Notamacropus eugenii: one gene and its partner. Each later gene encodes a partner of the first gene's protein in a complex. Links are inferred from orthologs where the notes say so. Each region holds a gene or a part of one and is shown on either strand. Other genes may lie near its edges.

Region 1 (7,563 bases):
TGTTATTTTTTTCTAGTTCTATAAAATAATTTTTTTGTGGTTTGATTGGCATAGCACTGAAAAATTAAGTTAATTTAGACAGAATTGTCATTTTTATTATATTAGCTCAGCCTATCCATGAGCAAGTGATATTTTTCCAGTTGTTTAAATCTGACTTTATTTGTGTGAAGTGTTTTGTAATTGTATTCAATTGTGTTCCTGGGTTTGTCTTGGCAGGTAGACCCCCAAATATTTTACATTTGCACATTCTTTCTTCTCTGAAATCCATTAGTCCTTATCTTGTCTGGTATTTTGCTCTATGTTTCTGTCCCCAGTCCTTCACTCTGGCATGTGATTGATGGAGCAAACACATTCAGAACAAGAAGGGACCTCCCAGCTCCTGTAGCCCAACCTTCATGTTTTACAGAGGAGGAAAGTAGGGCCATCAGTGGGAATGGCTTGTCCTAGGTCACCAACCAGGAAATGTGAGGACTGGGCTTCAGGCTCAAATCCCAGTACCTTTCTGTTGTGCCAGGCTGTGGTGACCCAACAGGGTGGAGAGTCACTCAGTCTTTGGCTCTCTGTTTCTCCATCTGCAAAAAAAGAGGGAGTTGGAGCAGGCAGCCTCCAACGGCCCTTGCAGCTCTAGATCTTTTCTCCTGGAAAAAGAAAACTTGATTTGGAGTCCAAGGACTTGGGTCAGATTCTGAGTCTGACCTCACTCAAGCAGACCACTTCTTCTCTCTGTGTCTCAGTTTCCTCCTCTGTAAAATATAAGATGTCCATGGACTATGCCAGGGGCTCTTAACTTTCTTTGTGGCATGGACCCCATTGGCAATGAGTCTGGTAAAAGCTATGGATCCCTTCTCAGAATGTTTTTTAGTGCATAACATCATATTCGTGATTACAAAGTAAGTCAATTATATTGAAATATATATGTATATGTGTATGTATACATATATACATACATACATACATATATAAAAGTTCAGGAACCTCAGGTTAAGAACCTCATAAACTGTTTGATTTCTAAGGTGAGCCAATCATTAAGTGTATATTACATACTTACTGTGTGCCAGCCACTGTGCTAGACACTGGGGATGCAAAGTCAAACCAAACATTTTCTGTCCTCAAGAAATTTCTGTTGGGGAAAACTCTATAGTATGTATGTAGCAGTGGTGGTGGTGGTGGTGGGGAGCAGTGAGCAGGGTTAGAGTGGGCCTTTAGAGGTCAAGTCCAGCCCCCTAATTTTATAGATGAAGAAACAGGCTCAGAGAGGTTAACTGAGTTGCTCAGGGTCAACCAGCAAGTGTCTGAGGCAAGATTTAAACCTGGGTCATCCTAGGTCCAACACTATCCCCTGTCCTCTGCTGCCACTGTGAATCTCCTTACTGACTCATTGCCTAGATGGGTTTCCTGGTATAAACCTTTTCTTTATATTCTGGTGAGGTGTAACAAATGAATCTCTAATTCTGCTTCTGTCCCTCTTCCCCTCCTCTCTTTCTATTTCTATCTCTCTCCATCCTTTTTCTCCTCTTTCTCCCTTCCCTTCACCCCTCCAAGCCCCTATCAAGGTACAATGCTTTTCCAAACACTCATTTTTAAAACTCTCTCATCCAGGAATGTTCTTCTCTTCCAATAAATATACTCACATGAGCAGTGCCTGTGTTTAGCACTTTAATGCTTTAAGGGTCCCTCTGAGACCCTTTCCCTGCTTTGCCTGTGTTATGGTAGATACTTGGTCATCCGTATGTCTTCTCCTCCATCAGACATAAGTCAAAGTGACTTCCTGGAAACAGCCCTCATGTGCAGAGGGAAGAGCTAGGGGCGTCCCGAGGGAATCATTTATTATGGCCCATTCTTTTCATTTACATTCACATAGCACAATTTGTTGAGCCATTGTCCAGATGATGAACATCTACTTTGCAGCTTTGTGCTAACCCCCAAATGCTGATGTCAATATTTTGGGGTGTGTGGAGACTTTCCCGGTGGGATGGCTGCCGTTATGGAAGAATCTCTGGGCATTTTAGTAACTTCATTTGCTTAATTCCAGACTGGTGGCATGGATTTGCAGCTTCAATAATGCACTAAAGTACCGGTTGTCCTGAAACCCCTCCAGCATCGACTCTTCCCAACTTTGGTCCTCTGCCAGTCTGTCGAGTGGGAAGCGAACCTTCAGTTGTCTTGATTTGCCTTTCTTATTCCTAGTGATCTAGAGCATTCTTTCAGGTCGTTAGTAATAGTTTGTTCTTCTTTTGAGAACTCTTCCTATCATTTAATCACTTTTCTGTTGGAGAGGGCTGTCTCACAAATCTTGCTGCAGTTTTAAGCTTTAGCATCTCTGTTATGTTTAGAGCCAGAAGCTTTACCAGCTTGTTAATACTACCATGACTTGTGGAATAGCGTACGTGTATATGTGTGTTGTCTAAGTATCTTGGATGCCACATATTTTCCTGTTTTACCACTTAACTTAGATATATTTTGTTTGTGCAGGTTTTCAATTTTATATAACATTAACGTTTTTGATTCCTTCTGTCAATTGAGAAGACATCTTTAGCTGGAAAAGGTCTATGATCCGTTTTCTTCTAAGTTCTTTCCAATATGATCTTTAATATTAAAGTCACACTTTCAGTTTATGCCTGACAGTTTGCAGTTTTTGTTGATGAGGGAGTTTTTTCTGAACTAATTTATGTTTTCCAGTTTATTGAACCCTGGGTTATAGTTTCCGATTCTCCTTTGTCTATTTTTCCATCAGTACCAGATGGTTTTGATGACTGCTGCTTTATAAAATAGATTGGCTCTTCATCCTTAACTCTTTGATTTCCCTTGATATTATATTGTTATTTTATCAGGTTCTGTAAAGTGTTCTTTTGATAATTTGATTAACATGAAAATTGTAAATTAATTTTTGTATTACTGTCATTTTTATCACATTGACATGGTCCAGCCATGAGCATTGAATATTTCTCCAGTTACTTAAGTTTTTATTTCAAGGAGCACTTTGTAATCGGAGCTATTTATACCAAGTCTTTTGTGTGCTTTAGTAAAGTGATGCCTAAATACTCTTGCATTTTGTAGCTTCCTATGGCTCTCATGGAACTGGAGTTCCCCTTCCGTTGATAGGCAGGCCTGGTGGATTCTTTCTTTTTAGGGCTGCCAGGGGCTTGGCCTAGCTTTCTGCAGTCAATGCCAAGCTTCCTTTCCAATTCAACTAGGGAAACTTTTTCATACTTCCTAAGTGGCAACAGAGCAGTAGATAGGCTTTTTTTTCCATTTAGTTTAAATTAATATTAACACTTCACTACCTCAGTTATCTGCCCTTTACTTTCTTTGACTAAACATGACCTGAGTTTAGGGAAATGTCCTGACCAATCCTCCTTACACATGTATGTGCATTTGTATATGTACATATGTGTGTATATATAAATACATTTATATACACATGTACATACATATATACATGTATAGAGTGGGAAAGAGAGTAGTGTGTGCGTGTACATCAAGAGCTAGGTGGAGCAATGGATAGAGCACCAGCCCTGAGATCAGGACCTGAGTTCAAATCTGGCCTCAGACACTTGACACCAGCTGTGTGACCCTGGGCAAGTCACTTAACCCTGGCTGCTTCCAAGAAAACTTAAAAGCTTCCCGAGGCAGGCGATAAACTGAGAAGGTGTATTTGGTCCCCTGCATGGCCTTGGCCTTTCTTTGTAAGAGGAAGCGCCCTGCGTCTGGCTGGGTCAGCCTGGTCTTTAATCACGGTCCCTCCATTCCCTGACCTGGCAGGTGACACCAGGCATCAAAAGGGTCAAACGCAGCACTTTCCACATTAAAAGGGAACAGCCCTCGCTGCCCTGCCGCATTCGCACTGAACTTCTAAGGAAGAAGTGAGGACGGCAGGCATGCCAGGCACGGAGGAAGGTCGGTGCAAAGGTGCGGAGATGGGAGACGCGGACAGCCACCAGGCCCCTTCCAGCAAGCAGCCCCACGGTTCCGGACGCGGGCCGTACTGAGTCTCTAAGGACTAGTCATTTTAATTAACGAGGACAGGTGGGGTGGGGACTTGACTCGTTCCTGGTCACGGGGCTCGGGCTGGGCAGTTTCCCCCGCACCAGGCCCCGGGTCGGCACTAGGACCAGCCGGCGGCGCGGAGCACGGGCCGGCGCGCACGCGCGTCAGAGGGGCAGCGCGGGCTCGGGCTCCAGGGCGCACCTGCGGCAGCACGCGCCCCACGCAGGTCTAGGGACCAGGAGGTAAACCGCCCTTGTCCTTCCCAAGATGGCGCCCGCCCCTGCACGTCCCGCCCCCTCCGCCGTCCCGACCTCCTCTATGGCCCCCACTTCCTGTCCAAAGGACCCCGGAAGCCTGCCCCTCGTCGCGCCGGGACGGACGCGGAGAGCAGGGGTCCCTTCTCGCCCGAGAGGAGGCTGGCTGGGTGAAGCGCCCCACCGAGGCCGCCCAGCCCCTCGGCAGCTTCACAGCCCGGCCTGGCCGGACGGTGACCCGGCGCGGCCCGGGCAGCCTCGGCGTCAGCGCTGACGTCACGGCGTCGTAGGCGTCGGGCTCGCGGGGAAGAGACGCGGGCGGCGCAAGATGGCGGCGGCAGCAGCAGCGGCGGCCGCTTCTGGGCCCCGGGCGAAGGCCCCGGCGGCGGGGGCGGGGGCCGCGGCGGCGGAGGAGGCGGAGGACGAGGAGACGGCGGCGGCCTTGGCCGTGGCGGCGGCGCGCGGGCGTCCCGAGCCCGAGGCGCAGTCGGAGGACTCGGGCGGGGGCGGCGACGGCGGCGACGAGGACGAGGACGAGGACCTGGGCTGCTCGTCGGCGGAGGAGGACGACGATGACGAGGAGAAGGAGAACGAGGCGGAGATCCAGCGGCTGGAGGAGCAGGTGCGCCGCGGGGGAGGGGCGGGGGCTGGGGAGGGGGTGGTGCGGCGGCCGTTGTGGGACTGTTGCTCCGGAGCCTCGCGCACGCGCAGTGGGCCCCGCGCGCCCGCGCGCTCCAGACCCACGTGCGACAGACCTTCTAGGCGAAGGACGTGGGGAGGGGCGGGCAGAAACGGGGTCCCCGCCCTCGAGGAGCTCCTCCTCCGGTGGGGGGACCAAACCGCATACCCTTGGGATCAGCGGGACGAGAACGACCTATCGGAGACGAGGGGGAAAAAGGGAGGGCAGGCCTGGTAGGGGGCACGGCCGGAGGGCAGGCCTGGAGTCGGGAGGAGGGTCTTGGGTGATGATGGAACATCATCCAGTAAGAAGACTGGAAAGGCAGGAAGGGGCCAGGTTTACCAGCCTAGGGGTCGGTAATGTTCCAAGTTCTAGTCCCAGCAGCCCCACACTCCCTGCGGCTCGGCTCTTTAGAAGGCTGGTGTGCTCGGGGTCGGGGCACTCCCACGGCCTCGGCCTCTTTGGCCCAGGGAGGAAGTGAAGACGTGGGGGCCGTCCAGTGTGAATGTAGAAGCCACCAGGCGCTGGAGGCTCGCGCTGTGTCCCCTGCAGGGCATTGTTGTTGCTTTTGCGTCCTCTGTCTCTGAACACGCCCTCGTCCTCCTCACCTCGCCTACCTGCCCCTCCTCCAGCAGGCTGGAAGAAGGCCGGCCACCGTGCAGCCTGCATCTCAGCCCTTCCAAGGTCAAACCTGGCCATTCCAACGCTCCTAACCGTTGGGTGACTGGTCTCGGACCAGTAGATTTACATTATGAAGCGAGTTGAGTTGATGGGGAGCTGACCCTGCATGGGAGGCCTGCCACGTCCGAAGCCGCTGGCCCGTGCAGGGCTCTCCCTCCGCCCCAGGCTGCGCTTACCTGCCCTTTTATCCAGGTAGCCTTGGGCCTCTAGTCTGTGTGCTCCGGGCTTTGCCTTCCTAGCTCTCCACTCCTCTGGTCCTTCCCGTCTCTGAAGACAGTAGACCGCGATCAGACACTCCGGGACAGGCTTCCTGACAGACTGGGGGAGCTGGACGAGACCTCATCATTCATCTGTTCTCGTTTGTTACATGTTACCGAAGGAGCACGTCGGTGTTTGCGGAGAGTAACAAACCTGGCAGTGTTCCAGCGGCGTGCGAATCCAGCCCAGCGCAGTCAGCAGCCTTATTGCCCTTGGCTGTCTGACCTCCCTGCCCTCTTGATGAGTTGGTTGGACCAATGAGATGTTTCCTTCCTAGAGTTCCAGGGTACTGTCCCTCTCCTCTCAGGCTTGAGCAGGAACTAGCTTGGTCAGAATTCTCTCACCCGTTGGCTAATTCTTACCTTCCCATGGCTTTAGTTTGGCTGTTGACATGGCATGAGGAGGTCCAAGGAGAATGTACATGTGCTTACTAGTTAGATGTTGATGTGTGTGGTGTGATCATGGTGCCTCATTTTAATGAATCTCAAGATGGCCATCTCTCATCGCATCAACACAGCATCCCAGATGTGGAAGGGAGGGATCTCCAAGGGAATGTGGTCCAGCCAACCTTGTTTTGCAGGGGAGGAGGGACCCAGGGAGGAAGGAGCAGAGCCAGGATGTGACCATTGGACCACACTGTCACTTGTCATGTCCATCTACACAGAGACCTTTCTTGCTCTAAAATAGTCATAGATGTTGTAATTAATTTAAAGAGACCTGAAATTTTAGGAATGAGAAAAATTGAGTCTATTGGTGATTTTCCTAAGGCCGTATGTGTATATCTGTCTGCATACATAACAAGGTGGTGGTAGATCCAAGGACCTCCCCAGTCATACAGGAGTGCACCTCATATACCACCTCCCCATCCCATTATATAGTGAAATGAAAATGACTGTGGACTAGAAGACTGAGATTGAATTCTGTCACCACACTGAGCTGGTGAGTCTCCTCTCTGTAGTGGACCCCGAAGAAGCTCTGGATTTTTGAGCCCTGAACATCTGGTTTCCGATCCCAGCTCTGCTCTGAGTATCTGTGCAGCCTTGGCTAAGGCACTTTACTCTGGGCCACAGCTGTCTGCAAAGCAAGAAGATGGCACTAAATGACCTCCAGAGGACTGCGATTGTAACTGGCTCTGAAATGTTACTATTTTAAGTTTTATTTCTAAGTTTTTGTGTATCCCATCAGGAGAAAATTAAGTAGAGGTGTGATTAAAAAAATTATTGCTTTATAAAAACACTTCTGATTTTGTCCTTACGAGCCATGGCTTTGTTGCTGTATCTTTCAGTGAGAAACATCAGTTTATATTTGTACAGCACCTTTTTAAAGAACCCTGTCATATTTCCATCCCTCTAGAATTGAGGAGCCTTTAACACTGAGAGGTCCCATAATCTGACCAGTGCTGCATAGGCAGACTGAGCTGGTCTTTCCTAATCCTCCCTGCTGTGGCCTCGCTGACAGCCAGGCTGCTTTTTTAGGTTCAACAAGGTCAAGCTGGGTAGGGCTCATTTTTCCCAAATGTTATCATGTGGTCATTATAATGAATACCATGATATGTTGGTTCTTCCCCCTGGCTGCAATGTGCTTTTTTAATTATAATGATAACCATATGATTTTTAATTTGAAGTTAAAAGCTCTCCCCTAGAAGTTGTTCCTGATGCTTGTTACTCTGAAAACTTTTACTTTTATTCTTTGTAAAGGAACTCT
Region 2 (7,674 bases), on another chromosome or scaffold:
TCTTCATCTATAAAATGAGCCGAAGAAGGAAATGACAAACCTTCTAGTCGTAATAATAGTAGCAGTAACAGTAGCTGCAACAATAGCCAGCATTTATATAGTATTTTGGGGATTTGCAAAACACTTTATATATGGTATCTCGTTTATTCCAGTTAAACAATTGCTGAATAAATGAATACTGTTGCCAGAATAATCTTGCTTAGGAGTAGAACTACTTAAATCATTTCACTGATCAAAAATCTTCAGTGGCTCCCTATTCCTACAAGTTTAAGTTTAAAATCTTTTTGATTCAAAGCTCTTTCCAATTTGATATCACTCTGTCCTTCCAACTTTTATACTATCCATAAGCCATCAATGTCAAACTCATGAAACCAAATATAAGGCCGCATATTGCCTTACAAAACCACATATTAACATTATCAATATTCTATTGTATTTTTATTTTGTTAAATATTTCCCAGTTACATTTTAACCTGTGGGTAGGCCTCCTTACTAACACCTCTGTTCTAAATTTAGACCCAATTGGATTACTTTCCTCTCTCACACTCTCCCCTACACTTTTCCTTTCCCTACCCTTCCCTCAAGCCATTTCCTCTCTATAGGATCATAGAGCTGAGTCCAACTCCCCCATTTTACAAATGAGGAAATTCAACCCCAGAAAGGTTAAGTGATTTGTGCAAGGTCATACAGGTAGTAAGAATTACAGCTAGCATCCAAATTCAGGTCTGGTGACTCCAAAATCAGTGGTCTTTACACTGCATCATACATCCCTTGGGTGAAAGTTCACCTCATCCAGGTGATCTGAACTCACTGAGGCCTGCCAAATATGATCTTATCCATCTTGGTTCTAGACTCTCTACTAATAGGTTTTGATCTATTTTTCCAAGTCTGAAGATAATTTTTATTGGTACAGAAAACAGAAGAAAAATATAAATGTTTCTGCTTTTTCTCCAGTGTCCAACATCATATTTTGTTGTCTTATTTAATTCAATTCAATTCTATTAACATGTATTAAGTGCCTAATATATACAAGGCACAGTGCTACGTACCAGGCCATATGAAGAAGGAAATACCTAACATTTACAAGAGTATTTTTAATACACATTGCATATGAAGTTCACTACACATTTCATACACATTGCCCCATTTGACCCTTACAGCAACCTCATGAGGCAGGTAACACAAATGTAACATGGATTATGCAGAATGAGAACAGATATTTTCTGCATGCCTCTAGTTGACCCTGTGGTGCTTTGCAGCTGCTTGTGGCCTTAGGTTGACCCTTTGGTAAAAGCACTTGGTGATATTCTGTGGCATGGAATGGTCCTCCCCACCTGATAGAGTGAACAATTCAGATGCCACTGTCTCATCTTGATCTCATAAAATCACCTGTTCTAAGAAGGAAACACAAGAGAGGCAGGGGCTGCCAGAGGCCCAGGAGCAAACTCACGTAGTTGGGTCCTCCAAGCACCAGCTTCCATGTTGTTGGGATCACCATGTTGGTAGGGAGTAGATGACCTTGTCCTTTCCCCACCCCGCAGTGGAGTTACACCTTGACCCATCATGGTCAAAGATGGACAATCTAGAAGCTATTTCTTTTAACAGATGTTGCACCTCAATCCCTTGCTATTTTGGAGAAGGAGTAGAAGACAAAAGGACCACTCAGGGTTTTCCACATCATACCAAAACAGCAAGTTCTTTCAGCAATGAGTCAATACATCTGGAAATAGTCCCAAAGTGGGCCAATCAAAACTAGACACAGAATATCTGGCCATGCTTTGTGCAACTCACCTTATATAGGTATTTCTATTTTGGATATGAAGAAAGAGGTCATATGATCATAGATTTAAAGCTGGAAAGGACCTTTGTGTATACCACATTTTACAGATAAGAAAACTCAGGATCAAAGGGAGGCAGTGGCTTGCCCAAGGTCATGAAAGTAGTAAATGTCAGAACTGAGATTTGAAGTGAAGTCCTCAGGTTCCCAGTTTAAAGTCTGGCTAAGTGATTTATCCTTGGGGATTTGAACACATTTCTCTTGACTCTCAAGTCCGTATGCTTACCACTACTCCAAGCTGTCTTTGTAAGAACCTTTTCCCAAGTACCTCACATAATATTTCATTTTATACTTTTCAAATGTACTTAATGTAGAATATAATGAATTGTAAGTATCTCAGTCTGTATAATCCCCATATGAAACCACTCCAGAGCATCAAAGACCATTTTTAATATAAACTTTGTTATCTCCCCCAGTAGCTAGACCAGCACTATGAACACAATAGGTGTTTACTAAAAGTTTGTTGATCCAGTGAACAAATGTTGTCATTGGTGACCATAAAAAAGCAAACAAAAAAAATTCTAGAATCTCACTTCACTTTACATATTTCCTAGAGCTGACAAATAGTGGGGACATCATTCTTTGAAGAGGTCAACAGTTAAAACTGTTAGTTTATTTTACTTTTTTCTTTTTGCTACTGAGTCACTTGGGGACCTACTTACTTTTCTAGTATCTAAATTAAAGACTAGAAAGTGCTTTTATGCTCTCAAATCAGAGGTAGCTCAATGGGGAAAATTCCCATTATTAGGTAAGAAGTGAGGTCACTGAGCAAAAAAAAAAAAAAGATAAGATTTCATCAGTGTGGATATAACCACTCTCCAGTCCCATAGACCCCAACCATCTAATATATTTAAAAGAATTTCATGAGTTGCTGGAGCAAAAGAAAAAGTATCCCTTGGTGACCAATCCTTTTTTGATGAGCTTCTCCAAACTTAGCTGAGCTGTTTCTCAGATGACATCTAGTCAATCTGGCCCATCCACACTTAAAAGCTTTTCTGGCTTGGTCTGAAACCTGCCAAATTTTACGTTAAGAAGTATAGAATTTTTAATGGAAGAAACTAATATTCTGGATCTTCTACAATCAAATGTTTCACTAAAATTATGTTATTAACCTTGCTTAGCCATATCCCTGAAAAATATTTAAAAAACAATATAGCCTTTATTTACAGATAGTGAAACTAGGGTAATCACTTTGCTATTTATCAGTATCAACTTGACCCTATAACCAAGGCAACATATTGGATGGTCTGATTGCTTCATCTTACTGTAAAGGGGATTCTCTCGGAGTAGTTTTATAAAATTCCATTTAGCAAAGCCCTTGGATTTTTTTTTAAGGATGCAATTGTGTTCTATTCCCACCCTGGATCTTTTGCTAAAATAGCTGAATTTACTTGGATTTCAATTAGCCAAATCCTCAGATCTAATGATTTTTAAAATCTTTTTTAATTATTCGATAATGGGTATACTCTCCACTGACATGAGGGTAAATGCGGGTTTCTTTTATTACCTTTAAAATCTGCGCAAAATTTATTGTAGGTCAAACGTTTCATTCGCAAGGAAGCAGCCAAATGCTTTCTATAGCTGTTTGGGGTCTACTTGGGGGGAACGAGAGGATGGATATATCATTTAAAGGAATCCTATTACCGTCCCTACATAGCACACAAGTTGGTGCCAGTAGGAAGGTAGAGGGAGAGAGTTGAAGAGCGACCAGTTCCGGCATTATGGTCAAGGGTTTTAATTTCCAATGCTCTTTTGCTCCAGCTGGGTTTCAAGTAGCTTAGGCAAAGAGTATTTGCGATACAAACCCATGAGTCAAGAAGCTAATGAAATTGTCATGCAATATTTTAGCTGCTCTTCTGCCTGCACAGGTACAGATATGTACACACACACACACACACACACACACACACACACACACACACACTACAGCCAAAGTTGTCAGGTAAATAAAGTTTCGCGTACATCTGGCCATCTGTGTGCGCATACGTACATACACAATTCCAATTAAGCTAGAGTTGTCATGTTTCGCACGCATCGGTCATTGGCGTGGGTATACACACATATGCAGACAACTGCTATTAAGTTAGAGCTGTCATGTTTGCCATACATCTGTCCACTGGCTCCGTACACTCATAGACACACACGCACCCTTTCAAGGCAGTCATTTCACACACATCTGGCTACTGGCGTGCATACACACCACACATTCACACAACCCCTATTAAAGTCACGTATCCTGCACATCTGGCCACTGGCGCGCATACACATACGAGCACACACAAAACCCCTATTAACTCAGAGTTGTCATGTTTCACACACATCTGGCCACTGGCACGAGTACAAACACATACGTACATACAATTTCTATGAGCCAAAGTTGTCATGTTTTGCACACACCTGGCCACAGACACGCGCAGGCGCACACACACATACATACACACCCTATTACGTTAGAGTTGTCATGAAAATAAGGTTTCGCGCACATCTGGTCCCTGGAGAGAGAAGGGAGGGAAGACACCGGCGCCGAAAGCGAGGAGGATCGGGCGGTACTGGGCCACGAATAAAACGAGAGTGCAGGGGCTCCCAGTGGCGGACCGCGGAGAGGCAGCATTTACGCACTGGGAAGAGCCAATGAAGTTCAAGGTGGTGGTGCTGTCGCTGCTGCCCTCGGCACTGGCCGTTAGGGGGCAGCAAAGGACGCCCGCGCGCTCCCCGGCCAAGCTCTCCTCCGCCTCCTCCCTCCCCCTCCTATCCTCCCCTCCCCCATTACGTCTCTCTAGGTTGCCGACCCGGCGGCGGGGCGGGGCCGCGGGACGCCGTGTTCCCACAATGCTCCGGGGCGGTGCCGCCGCCGCCGCTGCCGCCGCCGCTGCTGCCGCCGGTACCGCCGCCGCTGCCGCCGTCGCCGCCTCCTCCGCTGCCGCTAGTGGAAGAAGATGGCGGAGGGAGGAGCGGCGGATCTGGACACCCAGCAGTCCGACATCGCTACGCTGCTCAAAACCTCGCTCCGGAAAGGGGACACCTGGTGAGGGGGACGGGGCGGGGCGGGGACTGAGGCGCCCGCGGCTGCTGGGGGGGAGCCGGGCGGGAAGCGCCGGGGCTGGTGTCTTTGCTGAGTGACAGGTGCGGGGGGCGGGGGGCAGGTCAGATCGGGGACCGTGGAGCGCTGGTGGGGGGGTGGCGGGGAGGTCAGAGGGTAGGCTGGAGGTGTGAGGTCGCGAGGGGGGGTGGGGGCTGCTGCTGCCTGCGTCCCGCCCTCCCGAGCCGCTCCCAGCCTCGGGCCCTCATCCGGTGAGACCCTGCGGAGGACAGGGAAGGGGCGTGGGTGGACAGGTCCCATCCGGCCCGGATCCGGAGCTTCTCTTCCTTTCTTTCCGTCGTTTCCTCCCCTTGGACCGACCGCCAAGTTTGCCTGTCTGGTGAGCCTCGCATCCTTCCGGGCCGGACAGGCTGCAGGCCGCACAGGTGGCATGGGTCGGGGCTCCGCCGGAGGGGAAGGAGCCCCTAGTTTCCCGGTCCTTGTCAGAGGAGTAGTGCGGAGTCGGGATCGTGGAGGCCCCACGTGGTCTCGGGCTTCCCAGGGAGCTTGTCATGCAGCAGGAGCAGCGGTGAAGGGGGGTGGGGGGGGCGTTCGCTTTGAATTTCAGCCCGTACCTTCCTGACTCAGGGGATAAGAGAGCCCTGCAAAAAAAAGATAAGTCCGTGGGAGATGAACTCACTTGCTGATGGTATGGGTAAAGCTCTAGAGTTAGATTACTTAAGAACCCAACTAAGGTAGGCAGGTGATTCCATCCCAAGGAGTGGAATTTTTCATATCCCCAAACAGTCAATCAGTTGGTAAGCATTTATTGAGCTCCTGCTGTGGTTCGACGTACTGTACTAAGTGCTGGAGCAAACGAAATAACATTTATCTGCTAAATAAGCTAAAAGTGTAAATGTGGCTATGTGTAAGAAGGGTTGCTTTATTTAGTCAGTAATCATAACTATAGGTACCATTTATATACCAAGGACGTCAGGCATTGTACTAAGCACGTTACAATTATTATCTTACTGGAACTTCATAACAACCCTGGGAGGAAGGTGCTGTTACTATTCCCATTTTACAGATGAGGGAACTCCGACAGACGGGTTAAGGACCCAGATAGGAAGTATCTGAGGGCAGACTCGAATTCAGGTCTTGCTGAGTAATCCAGGAAGCCCTTATAAACTTTAATAGCCAGTTGTGTTCCAGGCACATCGATAAGCATTACATGCAGGAAAAGACGATCTAAATTCAAGGAGCTAGTGTACAAAAGCTTTTTTTTCTGATTGATTTTTATTTAAAGTTTGAAGAAAATTAAGCATTAATGTCAAAGCCTGTCTTGACTTATGGTTGGATTTGTATCCTCAGTCCTTAGCACATAGTGAGTGCTTTTTAAAAAATGCTTATTGCCTGCCTTCTGGAAGTCATTATTTTGTAGGGCTGAGTGAATGATTTTGTTTTCCTCAGTTGCTGTAGTTTCTTCTCAGTAGCTTCTGCAGAGTGCCAAGAGCCTGGGTTAGGTGCCTAATAAATGTTTATTGGCTGACCAGCTGTGTACTTTAATGGGGCATGTACCTTCAACATTTAAATGAATTGTGAGATTACAACAAAGAAGAAGCAAGTTTTAATGCCTCTTAGTAATCTCTATAGTTCATCTTCTTGTGTGAAGTTTACCGATCATTGGAGAAATAGAGCATATCTGGATTACTCAGGTTTAACCTTGGCGCAATGGTTCTTTCAGTATGTGGTCAGTAATTGTCCTACTGTGTGTTAAAGAAGACATTGCCTTATAATGAAAATTTAGGCTTTGAAACAGAAGCTAGTGTATCAAGGTTTGAAATTTTACCTCAGCTTTTTTAGTAATGTCATTTAATGATAAAATCTAGTAGAGACCAAAGATCAACCTAGCTAAGCTCACAGAGGCTTCTTGCCAGATTGGCCAAGTGTGATGAATTTTTGCTACAGCAATTCATGAAGCCAATTTCTGAACTCATGAAGGAATTGCAGTCTTTGATTGGTAGAAGAAACATGTACACAAATGAAAGTGCAGGTGCTTTAATACTGTAGTCAGAAATCTATGACACTTATTAGGAGCAGTATACCTATTGTCATGCATGTGCCCATTTTTATTTAAAGGTTATAATTGTTAAGCTTTTGCTTTATGATAAAGTTACTGAGAACATTTTCTCCTTATATATAGAGGTTTAGAATAGGAAAGAATTTTAGAGATCATGTAGTCCAACTCCTTTTATATTACCACTGAGGAATGTGAGGCCAAGATGTGGTATTAGAGGTAAATTCGATCATGCAGTAAATGAATTGCATCATTTTTCACTTTTAATTAAAGAAAAGCAAAAAGGGGCTGAAATTGTATATGTTGTGGTAGATATTGGGAGACCTGACTGATTTATAAATGGGGGCTATATTCTAACTGTAGTCTAGCAGAGGAAATCTGGCCAAGTACTGAAAAAAGAGTTTTGCTTTTTTTTAATGATAATGTAGTAGTATTAATCAGTTTTTGTTTTTAAATTGAAATGTAACATGGTTCATTGTTTTTAAATTAAAGTGATATTTTTCTTTTAAACAGTTCAAATCTTGCCTCAGAAGCTAGCTGTTGACCCTAAATGGATCACTTAACCTCTCTCAGCCTTAATTTCCTCTTCTGTAAAATGAGGATAATAATAGCACCTGGCTTACAGAGTTATTTTGAGGATCAAATGAGATAACATATTATATAGCACTTTTCAAACCCCTGATTAAGGTTTCCTATGGGGGGGGGAGATCTTGTCTACAGGTTTGTAGACAAAAGGGTCCA

The links. Proteins that work in one complex are often made in the same cells at the same time.
Region 2: the proteins of SART3 (region 1) and USP15 are in contact, whole or in part, in a crystal structure (PDB 5JJW), measured with the Homo sapiens proteins. The link is inferred for Notamacropus eugenii from reciprocal best matches to the Homo sapiens genes SART3 and USP15. Residues at the interface, in NP_055521.1 of Homo sapiens: Ser438, Ser439, Lys440, Glu443, Gln490, Arg493, Glu494, Trp496, Asp497, Met500, Thr501, Ala505, Trp511, Tyr514, Arg533, Cys537; in NP_001239007.1 of Homo sapiens: Ser23, Leu24, Asp48, Trp50, Gly121, Met122, Phe123, Val124, Lys125, His126, Lys128.

What each region holds. Positions count from the first base shown.
Region 1 is NC_092875.1:23,490,422-23,497,984, forward strand, and holds the start of SART3 (squamous cell carcinoma antigen recognized by T-cells 3), read left to right. Parts: upstream 1-4,554; 5' UTR 4,555-4,569; coding exon 4,570-4,863; intron 4,864-7,563. UniProt on the Homo sapiens protein: U6 snRNP-binding protein that functions as a recycling factor of the splicing machinery. Promotes the initial reassembly of U4 and U6 snRNPs following their ejection from the spliceosome during its maturation.
Region 2 is NC_092874.1:239,034,324-239,041,997, forward strand, and holds the start of USP15 (ubiquitin carboxyl-terminal hydrolase 15), read left to right. Parts: upstream 1-4,662; 5' UTR 4,663-4,773; coding exon 4,774-4,862; intron 4,863-7,674. UniProt on the Homo sapiens protein: Hydrolase that removes conjugated ubiquitin from target proteins and regulates various pathways such as the TGF-beta receptor signaling, NF-kappa-B and RNF41/NRDP1-PRKN pathways.